3 linked regions of the Arabidopsis thaliana genome follow. The protein of the gene in region 2 interacts with the protein of the main gene of each other region in a biochemical or structural test. Each region holds a gene or a part of one and is shown on either strand. Other genes may lie near its edges. The genes, in order: PRR5, FKF1 and CDF1.

Region 1 (5,926 bases), on a different chromosome or scaffold from region 2:
CAACCACCGGCCTCGTAACGCAACCGTCACCTCCGCTTTACCTGATATTTTCCTCGCGGCGGTCTCTCTCCTTTTCCTCTGGTCATCTCCTAAACCTCTAGTCTCTCTTCCTCCGAACAGATTCTCTTTCCCTCTAAATCCTCGCCGTCGATCCATCACCGCCATGTCTCGCCGATCTCCTCCTCCTCCTCCTCCTACTCAACGCTTCGCTAATCCTCAATCTCTCTCCGATTGGCTCGAATCGCGATTACCTTCCGATTCATTCGCCGCTTGGGGAGTCAAACCGGGAACCAAAAACGTTCATAACCTCTGGCTAGAACTCTCCGACGGCGAAACTTCTCTCGCCGATTCAACTCCTCCAGTACGCACCGTCAACGTCGTCACCGTTCGAGTAATCGGAAAAAACGGACGAATCCTAGTGGAAGCTCATCAGGAATTATCCGATGGGAGTATTCGTGAAAGATTTCGTCCTTTATCAGAGAAAATGAAGCCTGAAGAATCTCCCGACGAAGCAGTTTTTCGCGCCATAAAAGAAGAGCTCGGATCTATCTTCAATGGCGATGGTGATAACATTGGACAGAGAATTAAGATTCTTCCCGGAACTTATAACAGAAGAGTTGAAGAAAGGAACTCGCTATCGTATCCAGGATTACCGGCGCGTTACGCTCTTCACTCTGTGAATGCAACGGTGGAGGGATTACCGGAGCAAGATTTCTGTACGGAGGAAAAAGAGTACGAGGGAGGAGACTCGACGAAAGATTCGGTTGAAACACTCGCCGCTGGGAATGCTGTAACTGTGAAACGACATTACTGGAAATGGGTTAGTCCTGATTCGATTCGATCTTAAAAAAAATCTCAAAACAAAGCTTTTCACAAATTTTATCAATCTTGCTTTTGATACATGAATAATCAGAGAGCCATGTAGAGATACATATACACATTTATATATGTTCATAATCATCTTCTTCGTTTGGCTATTTTTGTGTTAGTGGATACTATTCTCCAGAAGTTTTGATCTCACTATAGCTTATCTTCTTCGAGTTCATTGTTTTGTGCTGAAATTTGTTTAGCTGAGATTTTGTCAATCTTTCTAATTCGTCTTGCAAGTTACAGAAACGTAATCCAAATGTATGTAGTTACAGATCTAACGTAGATTCTAACTAAAACTCAACAACAAGCTCGAAAGATGTGTATGTACACACAAATGTGTCACCAAATCTAACGTATGTGGAATTAGTTGTACAAAGAACAGCTCCTGCATCGGAGAAAACAAAATTCCTCTAGTTGATGATACAAAATTGAACTGTATATAATATATCAATTTGTTGGATCACTATGGAGCTTGTGTGGATTGGACTTGACGAACGAATTGGCCTTTGATTCGTGGTCGTTGCTCTGCTAATTTCTTCCGGCTCTCGTAACGAACCTGTTAAGTCATTCAAAGGTTCCTTTAGTATCATTACGTTATGAGTTCATCTATGTGATGGAACCATCGAAGTTAAGTTTTTACCTTTTTCTCATAACATCTGTCCTTTCGCTTCATTCGGAATTTGGTTAAAGCGGCTTCTCGTTGAAGAGATTGCTGAATTTTCCCGACGGATAATGAATAGCCATCTTCGTTCTTCTTCTCAATAAGCTGATCAATGTGATTGCCTATTGCACTATGTTCGGTTGCAGAAGAGACGTATCTCCTCTCATCTACATCCATGGAACAATCCCGGTCTTGTAACCCCTCGGGTTTACTGTTGAATGGGTGAAACATGGAACTGTACTCATGCGGGCTAACGGAACTAGGGCTTGGGGAGAGTGAAGCAGGAGCCATTGCAGATGTATAAGCTGTGTTGGGATCTCTGAACTGTATATTGTTGATAGGGGTTGGCGTAGGGTATGAACTCTGTCCCGGCCAAGAATTCAGCTGATTACTAAACGGTGGACCAGGTGAGTCAGCTCCAGTGTAAAAGCTGGTGTCGTTTCTTCTTGGAGCATTTGGAGGCGGTTCAGATGTATTGTATTGGTTCATTAGCACAATGTTATCATCTTGACTTGCTGCAACATTCTTTCTTTGATCAGTAACCACTGGGGAGGCTGAACATTGTGTCTGCAACGGCCTGTGAACGTACCTGCAACAAGAACATAACACACACAATCAGCAGAAAGAACGACAACTATTGAACGATTAATAGAAAGAAGAATTGAGAAATTAGACAACTCACCGTGTGAAAGCTGAGGCACTAGAAGGATGAAGAGAAGGCCGGTCTCCAGAAGATTGGTTCTCAGAAGCATTAGGTCTTCTCAGAGAAAGATCAAGCTCTATCCGAGATTCGTATTGAGCAACACTTTCTTCTCTGTTACGTCGTCCAGTTCTTCTAAACGATGCTCCCATGAAGTCAATGGCTTCTGCTTGCTTACTCTGCAACTCATTTGCTAGAAGCCGTGTCTCATTAAACTGAGACTTTGCGCACTCCATCTGTACTGCGTCTCTCGCACTAACCTCCACGTCTGCGCTCTCACCTTCCATCTCTGGTCTTGTACACGAGCTCTGGGCATCACCACCATTCCCACTCACAACATGATCGTCTCTCTTTCCGTTCGAGTTGTTTGCAGACGCACCCTCGGCTTTCTGCTGTCCAACACTCTCATTCCATGGAAAGCTATCAGGAGCAAGTGACTGTAAAAGATAATCAAAACCAAAAACAAATCTGAGAACTCAATCATCTTTTCAAGACAACGAAATTTCCCAGAACTTATATAAGAACGGGTTTAAGTTGTAGAGATAATTCATCACACATAAAGCTTAAAACAAAAGATGGATATGAAACATACAGTTTGTCTTCTCCAGACATGCTGCCAAAGATTTCTAAGCTCATTCCTCCTCAACGGCTTAACAAGATAATCAGCCGCACCTTTCAACATACACTTATACACAGTATTCACCGAGTCCTGTGTCGACATCACTGGAAAAAAAAACAATACATAATGAGCCAAAAAATCATTTCAAAACGATGGAAGAAAAAGATGTATATATCAACGTACTTATAACAGGAATGTTCTTGCAAATATCATGCTCCATGATAAGTGTTAGCAGAGCATATCCAGATATTGAAGGTAGATCAACCTCTGTTAATATCAAATCAACACTTTCAGGCTTTCCTTTTAGCATCTCCCAAGCTTTTAAGCCATCAGGTACTGCAGCAACTGATCAATACACAAAACCAAACCACATTAATACAAATCCTTTTAGCTTGTTGTAGAAACTAAGCGTTGATAAAGATTTCTATATGAACACAAAACCGACAAAAAAATCGTTGACTTTTCTAAATTTGACTTTGAATTGTAACATTTAGCCGCACGCGAATCAGATTCAAAACATTAGCATCTCAATCGAATTCATAATTCTCAGATTCTATACAAACAAAACCTAAATCTCAAGCATTGAAACCAGAAACTAACCTCTGTAACTACATTTCCTGAGAAGAGCAGCGATAATCTGTCTAGTAGAATCATCAGCTTCAACGAGCAAAACTCTAAGCGCGATTTTCGGGAGAAATCTCTCCCACTTCACCAAACCATCAACACCGGCGTCTTTCTTCCGAATCTTCCGACGTGATAACTTTCCTCCGCCAGCTTCAGGTGCTTTAACCACCGTCACTTCAACTACTTCCTCGCTACTAGTCATTATCACAACACAAACACTTAGCTTTGAAAAACCTAAATCGATTATTGAAGAAGAAGAAGAAAGCTCCAGAGAAAGAGAAACAGTTACAAAACAAATCAAAATATTTGTGAGTGGAGAGATAAATGAGAAGAGAGCAAAAAAAAGAACTTTATTCTTTCTATAATAGTGTGGAGAAAAGAAAATATCTAGAAAAAATCTAGCGAATGTTTTAACGGTTATGATTGAAAGTGGGTGGCGAACCGACCATGATCTAACGGTTGTGGAAAGAGTATTTGGATTTGAAAAAATATCTAGTAGAATTGGCTGACGTGGCCACGTTTGCCACATCAGCAAAATACTGTATACGAGACAAAAGAGATCCAATACGCCAAATAACCTTCTTTTAAGAAAAAATTGGTGTGGTGGCTAGCCTTTGGTTTTTCTATGTGGTTCATATTTAAAGTTGGATTTAATTTTTTATTATACTTTACCAAAATATTTATTGCAATTGATGTTTATGTATTTGTGATGGAGAAATATTTAGTGAATTTCTTGTTTATTTTTCTTTTAATAAGAGATCAACACTAAACATTGAAACTATTACTTATTTGATGCTTCTAAATTTTACTTTTATTTTAAAATGTATTTTATATTATTGTTCAGACATTTTAGCTTTTGAGTACCTATAAAAATCCCACTCGTGACTTTTGGGATAATACCAAACCCAAAAAATATCTAATGCTAGTGGGAAAAAGTATCTATACAAATTTATCCAAAAACAATTGTATTATTTTCTGTTTGGTACATAGGTTTGCAATTTGTTTATTTTAAAAACAATAAGGATATTTCAATTTTTTTTCACATAAGAAAATCAAGGACACATGGTATAATTTATTTTCTGAAATAACAAATAAGAACTTTTTGTTAATGAATTAATTATACATATATTTCAATATTATTTTTTGGCACAAAAAACATTTGCTTACACCAAATGATCACTGGTGCTAACTAATAGCAAATGTCATATATTATTTTATATTTTTTCGGCCAGCCATATATTTTAGTCACGAAATAAGAACACTTTAATATTGATTTGCATTAGAAAAGAAATGGAACAATCAAACAAATGAATATCGATCATAGAGATTCATAGTTTACCAAATTTTTATCAACATTTTGGTTTTTTCTATTGCTACTATTTTGGTTGCGTGGTGGAATAAATCAAATGGAACATGCACGAGTCAAGAGTAGGGACAAAGGGTGATGAATTTTAAAGTAATTTTCCGCGGCTAGATATTTTGTTGTTGGGTGGGATTAGATTAGAGACACTTGTTTAAAAACCTCGTGGTTCTTTGGTGGATAGGAATATGACACGTGTATGGTTATTATCTGACACAGTCTTTCACCTTTAAATGGTAGCTGTCACTGTCAGAGACTAAATATCTTCTTTTTTCCTTGTCTCTTTACGCGCCCGCGAGTGTAATATATCTCTCCTACTCGCTCTCTTGTAACAAGAGTCTTGTCCTACGCTATGACTTTCTTTTTTATTGACTGGACCCTATGGTTTTCTTCTCTTAATCAAACTTAGTAAACTACTAGGTAATAAAAAAGGACAATTAGTGTAATGATCAATCAAACAAATGAAGAAAATGGTTAATAATAAGCCAGGTGGTTTAGTTCCTTGTACTAGCACTTCATGCGTTAAACTGAGAAATAGGTTTAGGCCGGCGTGTTTTATTGACAAAAGAAAAATAAGTGCTATATAGGAAAACTATGTCAGTGACAAATTTTTATTGTTGTTAGATGGGTTTAATTAACATTGTTTTACTATATTGTTGCTGGTCACATAATTGACAGCATATATTAGAAATTTTATTATGATGTTGCTAATAGAAATGATATAAAATAGACAAAATAATTAAGTCGCATTCGTCCAATAATAAACCAGAAAATAATTATTCGTCATTTGGATTTCAGTAATATTGGTCACCGAAGTTCGAATTTTAACATAGTTTTTTCGGGCTTGAAGATTACTCTTTGGACATAAAAAACCATTAAAATCATCTGAATTATCAAAAAAAATTTGTATAATGATGATAACGATATATAATGTCAAATAATTTTTACGGATAACAACTTTACTGTGGTATCTAAATAATAAGTTATTTTTTTATAATATGTAATAGAAAGTACGAAATTCGAGAAAGAATTACATTTTTAAAACATTAGCAACTGTTTTTAAAAGTAATCACTGTTCTATGATCAATACTT
Region 2 (5,734 bases):
TATTTCCTTATACAATTTCTAGGACAAGTTTCAACTACGACTTAGAGTGCTTGAAGAGACACTGAGAGGCACATCAAGCATCAGCATAAGGAACACACCTGAGGGAAGAAGCATGAGTAATGGACCGTCTCGCAGGCAGTCAATCGGTGGATCAGATAATTTACAAAAGTTTGCGTCAAATGGCTTTTTGTCAAAGAAAACTCCGATGAGAAATTCCTTTACTTCTAATTCCACCTCGGTATTGAAGAATGCTAAAGGAACATCCAAGTCATTCGATGGAGGCACAAGATCATTGGATAGAGGCAAAGCACTCTTAAAAGGACCTGGGAATTATTCGTTCAACAAGGCTTGTGATGAAACCAAAGAATCAGAGTCACCTAATACCTGGAAAGAAGATTCAGAAGAGAAGCCACCAAGTGAACTCCCTGCACCAGCAACCGAAGACAATGTCCCAGGGGTTTTGTATGATTTACTACAGAAGGAAGTAGTCGCCTTGAGAAAATCTTCGCATGAAAAGGATCAAAGCCTCAAAGACAAGGATGATGCCATAGAGGTAAAATCTCTCTGAATGTACCATATAAAATGTTGTTAAAAAGACGTGTTTGTAATGGAAGTCTTGATATTTTTCTTGTAGATGTTAGCAAAAAAGGTTGAAACTTTAACAAAGGCAATGGAAGTTGAAGCAAAGAAGATGAGAAGGGAAGTGGCTGCAATGGAGAAAGAGGTTGCTGCAATGCGTGTGGATAAAGATCAGGATAATAGAGCTAAAAGGTCTTCAAACACCAAACCCTCATCCAACACCGCCCAGATTCTTGCTGCAAGGTATCTAACAATGTTGAATATCTTTGTCTATTTTTATGATCAAATTGCGATTTTAGCAATCAGACTAAGCTTGGTGTTCGATATTCTGCAGAGCTGCTGGCCGAAGTGGGTTAACAAGGAGTACACAATGAGATGAGGGAGGAGATGTGACTAGTTCTTGTGGTCGTATCAGTTTAAACAAGTAAAACCGTTATAGGCTGGTGTGATTTTTAAGCTCTTTTTAACCTTTATATCTCTTTTTTATTTCTCTTGCTTTCCTTTACATCCTCTGTGATTTATTGAATTACCATAGAACTTAAGGATGAAAAAGATAAGTATGCTTTCTGACTTAGATCGGCTTACACTGCTTAGCGATGACGACAAGAAAAAAGGGTGGAGGGAGAGATGTTTGACATTTTCGCATAACATTTTCTGTCCTATGGAAGTAGTTTGTTTGGCTGTATAGGTTTTAGCTCTGTATTGAAGTTTGTGTACTTTACTTTTTCGGTTTCTTCATTCTATTTACTTGAGGTGTTGTGTGATTATTTCTACTTTTGGGTTTGTGGATATATATATATATGTCCAAACTCAGTGTCTTCTCTCTTTTGGATGGTACGTCAAAAATCAAATCCTGCATGGTCGAGTAACAAGGAGAAGTATATTATAGAAGGATCTTCATACAGCAAAACCATTAACATTACATGAATATCTATCTAAAGCGTACAACAATCACTAATTTACTATGTACACACGCTTCTAGCTTCTGATATATCTCTTCTACATGTCGTAAGAGTTTGGAATGTGACAGATACAAAACCACAAACCAAATGAAGAAGGAAAGAGTCTTTACAGATCCGAGTCTTGCCGGCTAGCCAAGCAGAGTTCATGTAATTCATTGAGTATCCATTCCTCACCAGTGTGACCACCAAGGACCAATACTCTAGTTCCTCCAACAACGCATGTGCTATGTCCCCAAGCTAACTTAGGCGGTTTCCCGGGGACATTCAGGATCCTCCATGACGGTTTCTCTTCTGCAGGATCTATTAGAAACAGTTGCGAAGGAGAGTGAAGCCCTGCAATCGACCCTCCAAAGATGATGACCCTACCACACGGCATGCTCACAGCCACATGGTCTAGTCTTGGAGGCGGTACAACCACGCCTGGGAATGCGCTACACTCAAGCTCTCTCCATCTTGGTTCTTCATCCTCCAAGTCTATAGTGTATGCCTCCCCTGACCTTAGCTTTAGATGACCACTATTTGCAAGCCCGCCAAACATTAGGATTTTAGTCCGACCAAAGACCGATAAAGAATGCCCAAGTCTAGAAGGAGGAGCCCATGATGTCGGGATCTCTTTCCATGTCGGTTTATCTGTTGTCAGATCCAACAAGAAGGTGTCGCTGAGAAGCACTCCAGCGTCTGTGCAGCCACCTGAGACAACCAGTTTAGAGCCCTCAATGGTGCACGAGCTGTGCCAAGATCTTGGCAATGGAGGAGTTCCTCCTGCTACTTCCTTCCATGTGGGATGCTTAGCGTCTAGATCAAGCACAAATACATCATTAAGCAATCCTTGTCTTCCACACCCTCCAAAGACTACCAACCACGACCCGTTGAGACACGAGAGTGTGTGTCCCCAACGTCCTGGAGGCGACGACGTCACCCTCACACGCTGCCACTCAGGACACTCTGCATCAAGATTGAGAACAAAAGTATCATCCAATGGCTGCATGTTAACCCCTTCCCCACCAAATAGCACAAGCCGGTTCCCAACAGCACACGCGCTGAAATTGCAGCGGGAAGGTTGTACAATCCCTCCAACAGTAAATTTACGCCAACACACAGCTTCAAGAGTGGTGAGCTCTCTAGCTAACCGACCCCATCTTAGCTTCTTAGTCATAATCTCCAGTGTTCCAGTTATCTCTTTTCCCCACGCATTCTGACATACCATCTTCCTCACACTCTCGTTCTTCGTCAACTGCCTCAACCTCCTGCAAGCAGAACCAATTGAAGCAACGTCCCTTGGAGTTAACCGAGATAAGATGTTATGAGCCAAAACTTCATCAGATAGCTGCAATATCCCACAGAAATCTTCATGATGCTCCTTAAACCTCGGGCTTCCACTTGGAAACAAGCACTCAGATGTTTGATCAAGCTGTTGTTTATGTTTGAACACAGGATACGAGACACGGTCAAGGTCTATAGTCGTTTCAGAGAAGACCTGTATCCCAATTACGTGTGTAATGGTTCCATCATCGTCACGTATTGGAGCAAGCCGTAGTCTGTTAACCAAAGGAGTACCATCTTTTCTGAAATTAAGAAGCTCTCCTTGGAATTCAATACCTTCTTCAAGACATCTCCTAATCTCAGATACAACCACAGGATCAACCAATGGGTGACGCCTTTGAGCTCGAGGATCTCTGTACTGTAGGAATCGACTGAAACCAAGCAGATTCAACCACAAATGCAGCATTATTCAAGAGAATTGATAACAACACACTCCAATTCAAAAAGGGGGAAATCGGAGAAATTAATATACCAGTTACGACCAAGAACTTCATCGGCACGATAGCCAGTGAAGACTTCGAAGACTCTGTTGACATAGATCAAAGGAAAATCTGGCTCCAGAGCATCGGAAACAATGAACGAAGGCGGAGTCATTGGGTAATAGAACATCCCAACCTCTAACGGAAGCTTCTCATCCTCTACTTGTTCTTCGATTCCATCGTTACAGTATTCTTCTGCTTCTTCAACTCTGCCGCGTTTCTTTCGTTTTCCGGTGGCTTCTCCGATCGCATGTTCTCTCGCCATTTTTCTCGCTTACAGAAATATCTTCTTCTTCTCTGATAAGCTCTCAGCCTTATGATATTTTATTTCTTTTTGTGTCTGTTTAAACTTTTAAAATATCTTGGCTTAGTTGGTGACTTATTGACGAATATACCCTTTATATTTAAGACGAGGCAAGAAGTCTTCGCGCCAGGAGTTGGTGGCAATTTTCGTAATTAAAAGGATATATCAGGGGTATGTTTAAAAAAAGTAAGTCTACTCTTGTTCGATTGTAACACGTCACCAGGGGATATTCCGAGAAAATATCTAGCCTACTCAACCACTCGCTTCTTCCACGTCATCATATTTTGTGAAAGATATTTGTTTTTTTTTTGAAGATTGAGATTTGAGGGAAGATATTTGTTTTTGTTTGTGAAGTGTTGGAACTTGGAAGTTGGAACGCAATTGGAATCAGATTCACGTAACCGTTGACTCTGGTCAAATAATAGATATTTTTGTGAAACGCGATTCTCGAAAAGGTTACACATAATGTTAATGTAACAAATTGAGTTTTCGTGGTGAGTGGAATGGGATGATGAGACAAGGGAGTTTTTCTCCCCAGTTGAGAAAATTCAGATTTAGCTCTAAAACTTCCCACTTATATAAGTTTCTAAACAAAAAAATTACATTAGAAATACGAAAATGTACGTAAGTAATGTAAATATGTAATAATTGATAGCAATAGTGGCCATAGACCCCACATAGTGGCATACTATGAGAGTAATAGAGTTAAGTGTAGTCCTAAGATTTACAGAAGTCCAGATCTAGGCCCATACTAAATAGCTAGCCCACAAAGCCCACACAAAAACTTAATTTGAACCAAATAAATAGACAACATATTTTTTTTATTTTTCTTAACCGTGTGAGAAGGCTTCTGACCATAATCTTTCAAGTACATGAAATCAACCTTTACATATTCCAATTGTGTTCAACCAAAAAAATATTCCAATTTAAATAATATATTTCCATTCCAAAAAACTAAACACAAGAAAACTAACCCTTTTGGTATATAGACAAAATAATTGTTTCATAGATTTATCTTTTTATTTTATCTTTAATTTCTATACAATTAAAGGTAAATTAAAGGTAATTTCTATACCACTCCAACATTTCCTGTTATGTTTCATTAGCTACTTCAAGTTTTAGATTTATATCGGGTTCACAAGACGTCAATAAATTACATTCCTTATCACCTCAATAAAAAAAGTTATGATTTTTTGTTTTTCTTATTTTTTCTTTACTTTTTGATATAAAAAAAAGTTCTGGCTTTTGTTATGTAATTTGATTTTTTGAACACAAACAATCGAAACTCAAACATCTTTTTGGTGGACTAAAACCCAACAACTTTTTTTGATTGATGAAAAAAATAACATTCATTTTTGGAGAATATAAATTCAGGGAAATTTATAATTAATTAAAGGTATTGAGGCTCTATCTATTGCCAATACTTTTGGGACCGCTTGGTTCATCGCGAAGACAAAGAGACATGTTCAAAAACAATGGTACTCATCGCACCCCTGTCACTAGAATAATAGCCACTAATCCTAGTCTAACATTGGCCGGTCTGGTCTTTTTCTTTTTAAATAGTTTCATGATTGTCATCATCTCAATTTTTGTGTAAGTTAAGTTATGAGTTAATTAATGACAGAAATAGAGCGAGCAATAGTTTCTTTTGAAGTCGTGAAATGTATAACATCAATATAGATCCAAGTATGATTTTTGACCACATCCAAATTACAAATTAAAAACAAAAAAATTCTATAAATGTTTCGAATATTTATATAAAAACAGACGAAGAAAAATTGAAGTTTTGAATCATGAATGAAACAAAATCGTGCTAAGCAAAACAATTTAAATGGTTGGTGTACTGCATGTGCTTTAACGTGAGCAGTTTAATGAGAATTAGGGTTCCACATGTTAATATATATTTATAATGTTATCACAAAAATATATTTGTAATTTCACAGCTAAAATATGACTTCTTTTACCAAAACAAAAACTAAAATATGACTTGAACACGAAACAGAAAGTATATACATTCACGTATCACAGCCCTAGAATCTAGCTCACTTCCTAATTCGAAAATTGCGTAAGCTCACACGTCAGTACCC
Region 3 (5,609 bases), on a different chromosome or scaffold from region 2:
GCTTTGTGTTGAACCTTTTTTTTGCAATAATACATGAGATAATAAAATTTACAGAAATTGTTTGAAGACACAAATTCAATAACATTCAATGACATCAAGACACAAATTCAATGACATAAAAAAAAAAAAGATATCTGAATAACCAAGAAAAATGGTTGAACGTGGTTACAAAGCTGTTTGATTCAAATCGACTCTAGTGATCGACGTTAAATACTGTTTCATATATGCATTCTTATTTTGTTCCATATGTGGAGGAAAGAAAATAATAATAATGTATGAACAATTAGAGAATTTATGATATTGAATATTTTTGGGTCGCAGAGATAATACTGTCTATATTCAAAAGAATGAAAAAGCAACGTGTCCTGCTCTTTACTTTCAGCCAAAAAAAATACTCTGTCCCACGTTATTAACAATTTCAAAGGAAATAATAAAAAATGGTTTAGGATAATCACATTTGTGGCTAATATTAGTTGAGCTGTCCAAAATATCTAAGTTGCTATCAGACACACAGACCAAAGTTCATAAAAATAAATGAATTTGGGAGCACAATGATCCATCTTTTTCAGCATAATTAGTTAAAAGGAAGTAAAAATAAGCAAACAAATGATTATATACAGACTGTCTCGACGTCTATTTCTGATTTTTTTCCATATATTCCTCGTTTTAATCTAAAAAAACCTTTATACCAGGTTTTGATTAGAGAAGTATTCGTTAAAGTACATTCGTTTGATACGGTTGGTCAACAAATTATCCAAGAACTAAATTTTTTAATCAATCTAGGATATTTATTATCCAAAAATACTATGTACTTTACCAAAAAAACATTACACGAAAATGATCTAAAATACAACACTCCATTAAAAGGGGCTAAGTTGCAAAGAAAGTCAAAATAAAAGTAAATAGATTAACTAACGATAATTTAAAAACTCTGCAAAACTTGATTAAATCTAATTTCATTATAGTTTATTTTATTTGTTGCTGTTTGCTTTGTTTTCCATATTCAACATTATTATGTTTTGTGCTGTTTTATCGTGCCCACCCGCACCAGCACACATGACACAACTGTTAGTTATCGCACAAAAGAGGTCAAATTCAAGAAATCTTTTTACATTATCTTATCTTACTTTACTTATCCACTCGTGTTTAAAGTAAATCAGATGTCTATCTCAAATCTCACAACAGTTTTTTTATATTTTTACTGTTAGCTTTTAACAGCGTATTTAATTTGAATGCAAGATAACGGTCAAAAAGAACTTTTATTTCATCGTATTTAATCTTACAACAAAAATCAAACTTAAAAGACTAAAAAGTATATGGTACAAAAGCTATTATAAAGCTTCATGTAAGCCACAACGAAAGAACAAAAAAGTCAGATTTTGATGGATCTAACTTAATCTTCCACCACATCTATACATACATACACGTATATATCATATGTATACAATCACATCTGCTCATGGAAATTGATTGATCTTGATAACGCAGCAGGGTTTGCACAAAGAACAAGTGAGGTCTCTGTTTCTTCTTTGTTACTGAGCTTAACCTCTTTCTTCGAACCAAACCCATTGAACATAACTTCGTTCTTGATCCCAAGTGTTGTCCATATCGAACTCTTTGCAGCTTCATTAGGATCATCAATTCTCAAAGTCTTTGGAACCAATACAGATCCATTCCTCTGTTTTTGCTTCACCGTCTCGTCTTCGTCTCTCGAATGCTTACCAAGAGTAGAAGTAGGACTTGAACTTACCGGAGAAGACAACACTGGCATGCTCCAATAAGGGTAAACCGGGTAAAACGCAGGATTCCACGTGTACGGCCACGAAACTCCCGGAAAACAATTCAAACCGTTCGAAGTGTTGTTATTAGAGCGCTCGTCATTGTTCTCTATCCTAGCAACTAGCTTTTGATTACCAAACCTATTACTCGAGACCTTTTGATCATCTCCGAGGCTGAAACTAAGGACCGGACCATTTGTTTCGGAGATAGTCACATGGTGGTAATGTGAAGTTGGTGAGTTGTTCTTGTTCTTGCGCCGTCCTGCTCCGATTGGAACACTTCTCATGGTCCCACCTGAGGTCCAATATCTCTGACAAGCTTTACAAAAATGGCGAGGTTGGTTTACGTTGTAGTTGTTGTAGTAACAGAACTTAGTCTCCATGCTGTTGCATCTTGGACATGGAAGAATCTTGGTTGGTTTCTTTAGGGTTTTGTCTTTCTCCGATTGATCAGTTAATGTCTTGTTTTGGTTCTGATGCAAGACAATGAAATCGGATTATTAGGGACGGATGATGAATAAAGAAAGAATAACATTTTTGAAGCATGTTAAACAGAAATGAATTTAAAACTTTGTATTATAATGAGTATGATTCTCAAGAAGAAGGTTCTAGATGAAATTTTGGTGGAGGAAAAAGTCTTTTAAAGAACACGCTTTAGTTAGAAGTCTAAATTCGCTCACCTTTATTGGTTTCAGTGTGTATACTATAAAGCAACCTTTTTCACTAAAAAATATGATTACTTTATGGAGAAACGAATATGCTTTTTCGTTTCATGAAAAGTCATCAAACCAAATTGCAACCTCTGGTTCACCAACAGAGAACTAGAGTTTTAATTAAACAGATGGTTTAAGTGTATTTTCTTAGGAATTCTCCAAAAAGTTTACCAATTCATCAACTATGAATATAAAACGATACCAAAAAAAGAAAACAGTTGCCTTTGATGGGAAAATGAACAAAAACTCAAATACCCTTTTCAAAACACCAAAACTCATTTTCTCTATACTTGTATATAACAAAACATACTCAGCCCTTTCAGAAACAAAAAAGTAGACATAATAATGAGTACCTTTTCTTCTTCTTCATCAGCAACCTCTAAAACCGTCGGGAAAGGAATTTTCATACCAAAGAGCTTTATCGCAGGATCTTTAGTTTCCAGCATTATTATCGTTTTCCTAAGATGTGCTCTTTTTTACTCGTAAGTTTCTGACTCTCTGTGTCTCTTTTCCTTTCTTTTCAGGGTGTTTTTTTTTGTTTCTCTTCGAAGATGTTTTGTGGGGGGTTTGGGTAGTTTGGAAATTTTTGGTTTGGAAATCGTGAGATTTGGGATTTTGATACGTTTTAAAAAGTGAAGTGGATGCCAGGTCAGCATTTTGGTTTGATTCTAGACCACAAGTTTATGTGGCCTCTGATATTTTACTTTTCTCCCAAACCCCATTAAAACCCATAGCATATAATCTTTTGTTATTTTCTTTAAACTTTGTCAAAACTATTCGAAGAATCGATTTTTTTATATGTTTTAGATTTTCACTAAACTTTCCGTTAACCAAACAGATCAAAAAGGTCTTATGTAGTTATATACATGGAACAAATGCATAACAAGTTTGAACGATAAAAAACGAAGTGCTCCTACGAGGATGCAATAAAGTTTTCAGAAAAAGTGTTTTTATAAACACGCTTCGTTATATATAATACTGATATAAGATTTCTAACATATCTTAACAATTATCTATCTATTGTTGAATTGAAGAAAAAAAAACAATTATGTAAACTGTTTAGAAACTTTTGGGTAGGTAAATGTCAGCATCGCGGGGATGGCTTTGGTGCAGCTCACACGAGAGCTGTCTTGTTACGTGCAATTTCTTAATTGGTTGGTAGAAGGATAAAAATCCTTCATTTGAAAACGATCTACACTTTTTGGTTTGGAGAAACATATACCCTTCTTTTATACACAAAGATTAATCACAACCATTAATAGAAAATCAATTATAAAAAAAAAAACAAAAAAAAAACTTCACAACCATATAACATCCATTGACGAATTTCATTAAGTGAACGGTTGTACGTTAAGATAAGAAGACTGCAGAAGAAGGTAATAGATATGAGGTGCTCTCTCATTGGCTATTACCAAAAAGGTCTCTGCCACATTTTATGATTTACCAAACTCTGCCTTTTTTCCATGTCAACTTCTACTGTAGGTCCCTTACTCACCTGCATCTTGGTCAGATCATAGATTTCACAAACTGATTGTGTTGCAGTAAGATCGTAGTTAAGAAGCTTCCTAAATCTAAGAAGGCTTAACAAAACAAAATTTGTTGCATCTTCAAAAGACAATTTGTGTATGTGTCTATTTGTATATTGTGTAAGAAGACAATTTGGAATATTAATCCGAATACCGAATATCGGATAATGTTTCTTTATAATTCATAATGTGTTTCAAAATAATCCATTATTCCAAGACGTGTGCCAACCAGTGTTATCACTTCATGTAATCATTTTTTAGCAGGGTTAAGATTTAAGACAGCTTTAGTTTGAGGGCATTGTCTTTCTCTTAGAAGGGTCGTAAACGGTGAACATGTCACACACAGTAAGTTACCAAAGTCAAAATGTCGGTTTTTCATAACTTCCCCAATTCTTTTTATTTAACATTATCATTTAGCAACCAGATCAACACTACACTATCAATGGAAAGTGTTTTTTTTTCATCTAGATTTTGATTTGAGTTTTTCGTTTTTGAATTATTGGTTTTTAAAAACTAGATCAACCAGATTTTTAGTTCTATTGACGCGTCTGTGTTTTTTTCTGATGTTGTCAAGATAGTAGGGACAATATTCTTCTTCTTCAGCAATAATGGGTTATATAAACTGACAATTTTTCTCCAACAAAAAGCAGTTGCATTAGACAAGATCATAACTTTTAAAGTTTTTGGCAAAAGAACTAAATCTGAAATTTTCAAAATTTTCTTTTGAAATAAGGCATCAAGTGTCAGCATATTCATCTTCTGAATCTCCCTCCTCTACCACCACCACGACCGCCTCTTCTTCCACCACCGCCACCGCGACCTCCACCATGTCCATTGCCGTTAGCTCCAGGAGTCTTCATGTTTTCAGGCAATGGGAGGATTTGATCAACACACTTCCTGAAGCTGAAATCGTCTGCAGTATCGTCTTCCCTAACCAGAAAGAAGCATCTGCTTTTCCACATTGGGTGGGTTCTTACTTGGAAGGTTTTGATTCCTCCTCCAATCTTCTTTTCAGGCTCAGAATGGCCCTTCTTAATCAGATCTAGCAGCACCATGTGCTCATACTGAAATGTACAATCCAGAACAAAGTTCAGTACAACGAGTTAGTTAGTTGGAAGCTCAAAAGAAACTGCAACAACTGTAATATATTACATGACTATGCAATGTTTTATCTTTTATTTGTGCCCTCAAAATTTGACATTAACTTCATTCTTCTAACCATTATATGACATCAAGACCCAAAAAAACTTTCTAATTCACACACAATCCACAATCATATAATCAGTAAGAACACGATACATTTGAACTTTTCAACTAGTAAAAAAGCTGCAAAGGAGTCCAATTTACAAGCTATCTCCACTTCACTAATCCTCTCCCTAAACATAATACAATATCCACAATCATCTCCCTAAACATAATACAATATCCACAATCATTGTAAACAACCACTAATTTGAGACAAAAACAAAATTCTAACACCAAACACTGAATCCAAAATCAAATCATATGACCAATACAAAGGCGAACCCAATTCTCAATTTCTTTTAGTTTAAATACAAAGCACGATCATCATCAGATTCATTGATAAAACA

The links.
Region 1: the proteins of FKF1 (region 2) and PRR5 form a complex in vitro, tested with the Arabidopsis thaliana proteins (one study listed by BioGRID).
Region 3: the proteins of FKF1 (region 2) and CDF1 form a complex in vitro, tested with the Arabidopsis thaliana proteins (one study listed by BioGRID).

What each region holds. Positions count from the first base shown.
Region 1 is NC_003076.8:8,354,871-8,360,796, forward strand, and holds PRR5 (two-component response regulator-like protein), read right to left. Parts: upstream 3,677-5,926; coding exon 3,451-3,676; intron 3,196-3,450; coding exon 3,034-3,195; intron 2,955-3,033; coding exon 2,824-2,954; intron 2,669-2,823; coding exon 2,214-2,668; intron 2,121-2,213; coding exon 1,511-2,120; intron 1,427-1,510; coding exon 1,334-1,426; downstream 1-1,333. Other genes in the region: AT5G24460 (RING-H2 zinc finger protein), read left to right, coding at 1-847. UniProt on the Arabidopsis thaliana protein: Transcriptional repressor of CCA1 and LHY, thereby controlling photoperiodic flowering response. Involved in the positive and negative feedback loops of the circadian clock. With RVE8, forms a negative feedback loop of the circadian clock.
Region 2 is NC_003070.9:25,506,611-25,512,344, reverse strand, and holds FKF1 (flavin-binding, kelch repeat, f box 1), read right to left. Parts: upstream 3,707-5,734; 5' UTR 3,609-3,706; coding exon 3,337-3,608; intron 3,236-3,336; coding exon 1,648-3,235; 3' UTR 1,438-1,647; downstream 1-1,437. Other genes in the region: MAP70-1 (microtubule-associated proteins 70-1), read left to right, coding at 23-553, 635-822, 914-953. UniProt on the Arabidopsis thaliana protein: Component of an E3 ubiquitin ligase complex that plays a central role in blue light-dependent circadian cycles.
Region 3 is NC_003076.8:25,067,851-25,073,459, forward strand, and holds CDF1 (cycling DOF factor 1), read right to left. Parts: upstream 3,262-5,609; 5' UTR 2,938-3,261; coding exon 2,845-2,937; intron 2,252-2,844; coding exon 1,448-2,251; 3' UTR 1,243-1,447; downstream 1-1,242. Other genes in the region: AT5G62440 (EMB514 (DUF3223)), read right to left, coding at 4,770-5,081. UniProt on the Arabidopsis thaliana protein: Transcription factor that binds specifically to a 5'-AA[AG]G-3' consensus core sequence. A flanking TGT sequence contributes to the specificity of binding. Regulates a photoperiodic flowering response. Transcriptional repressor of 'CONSTANS' expression.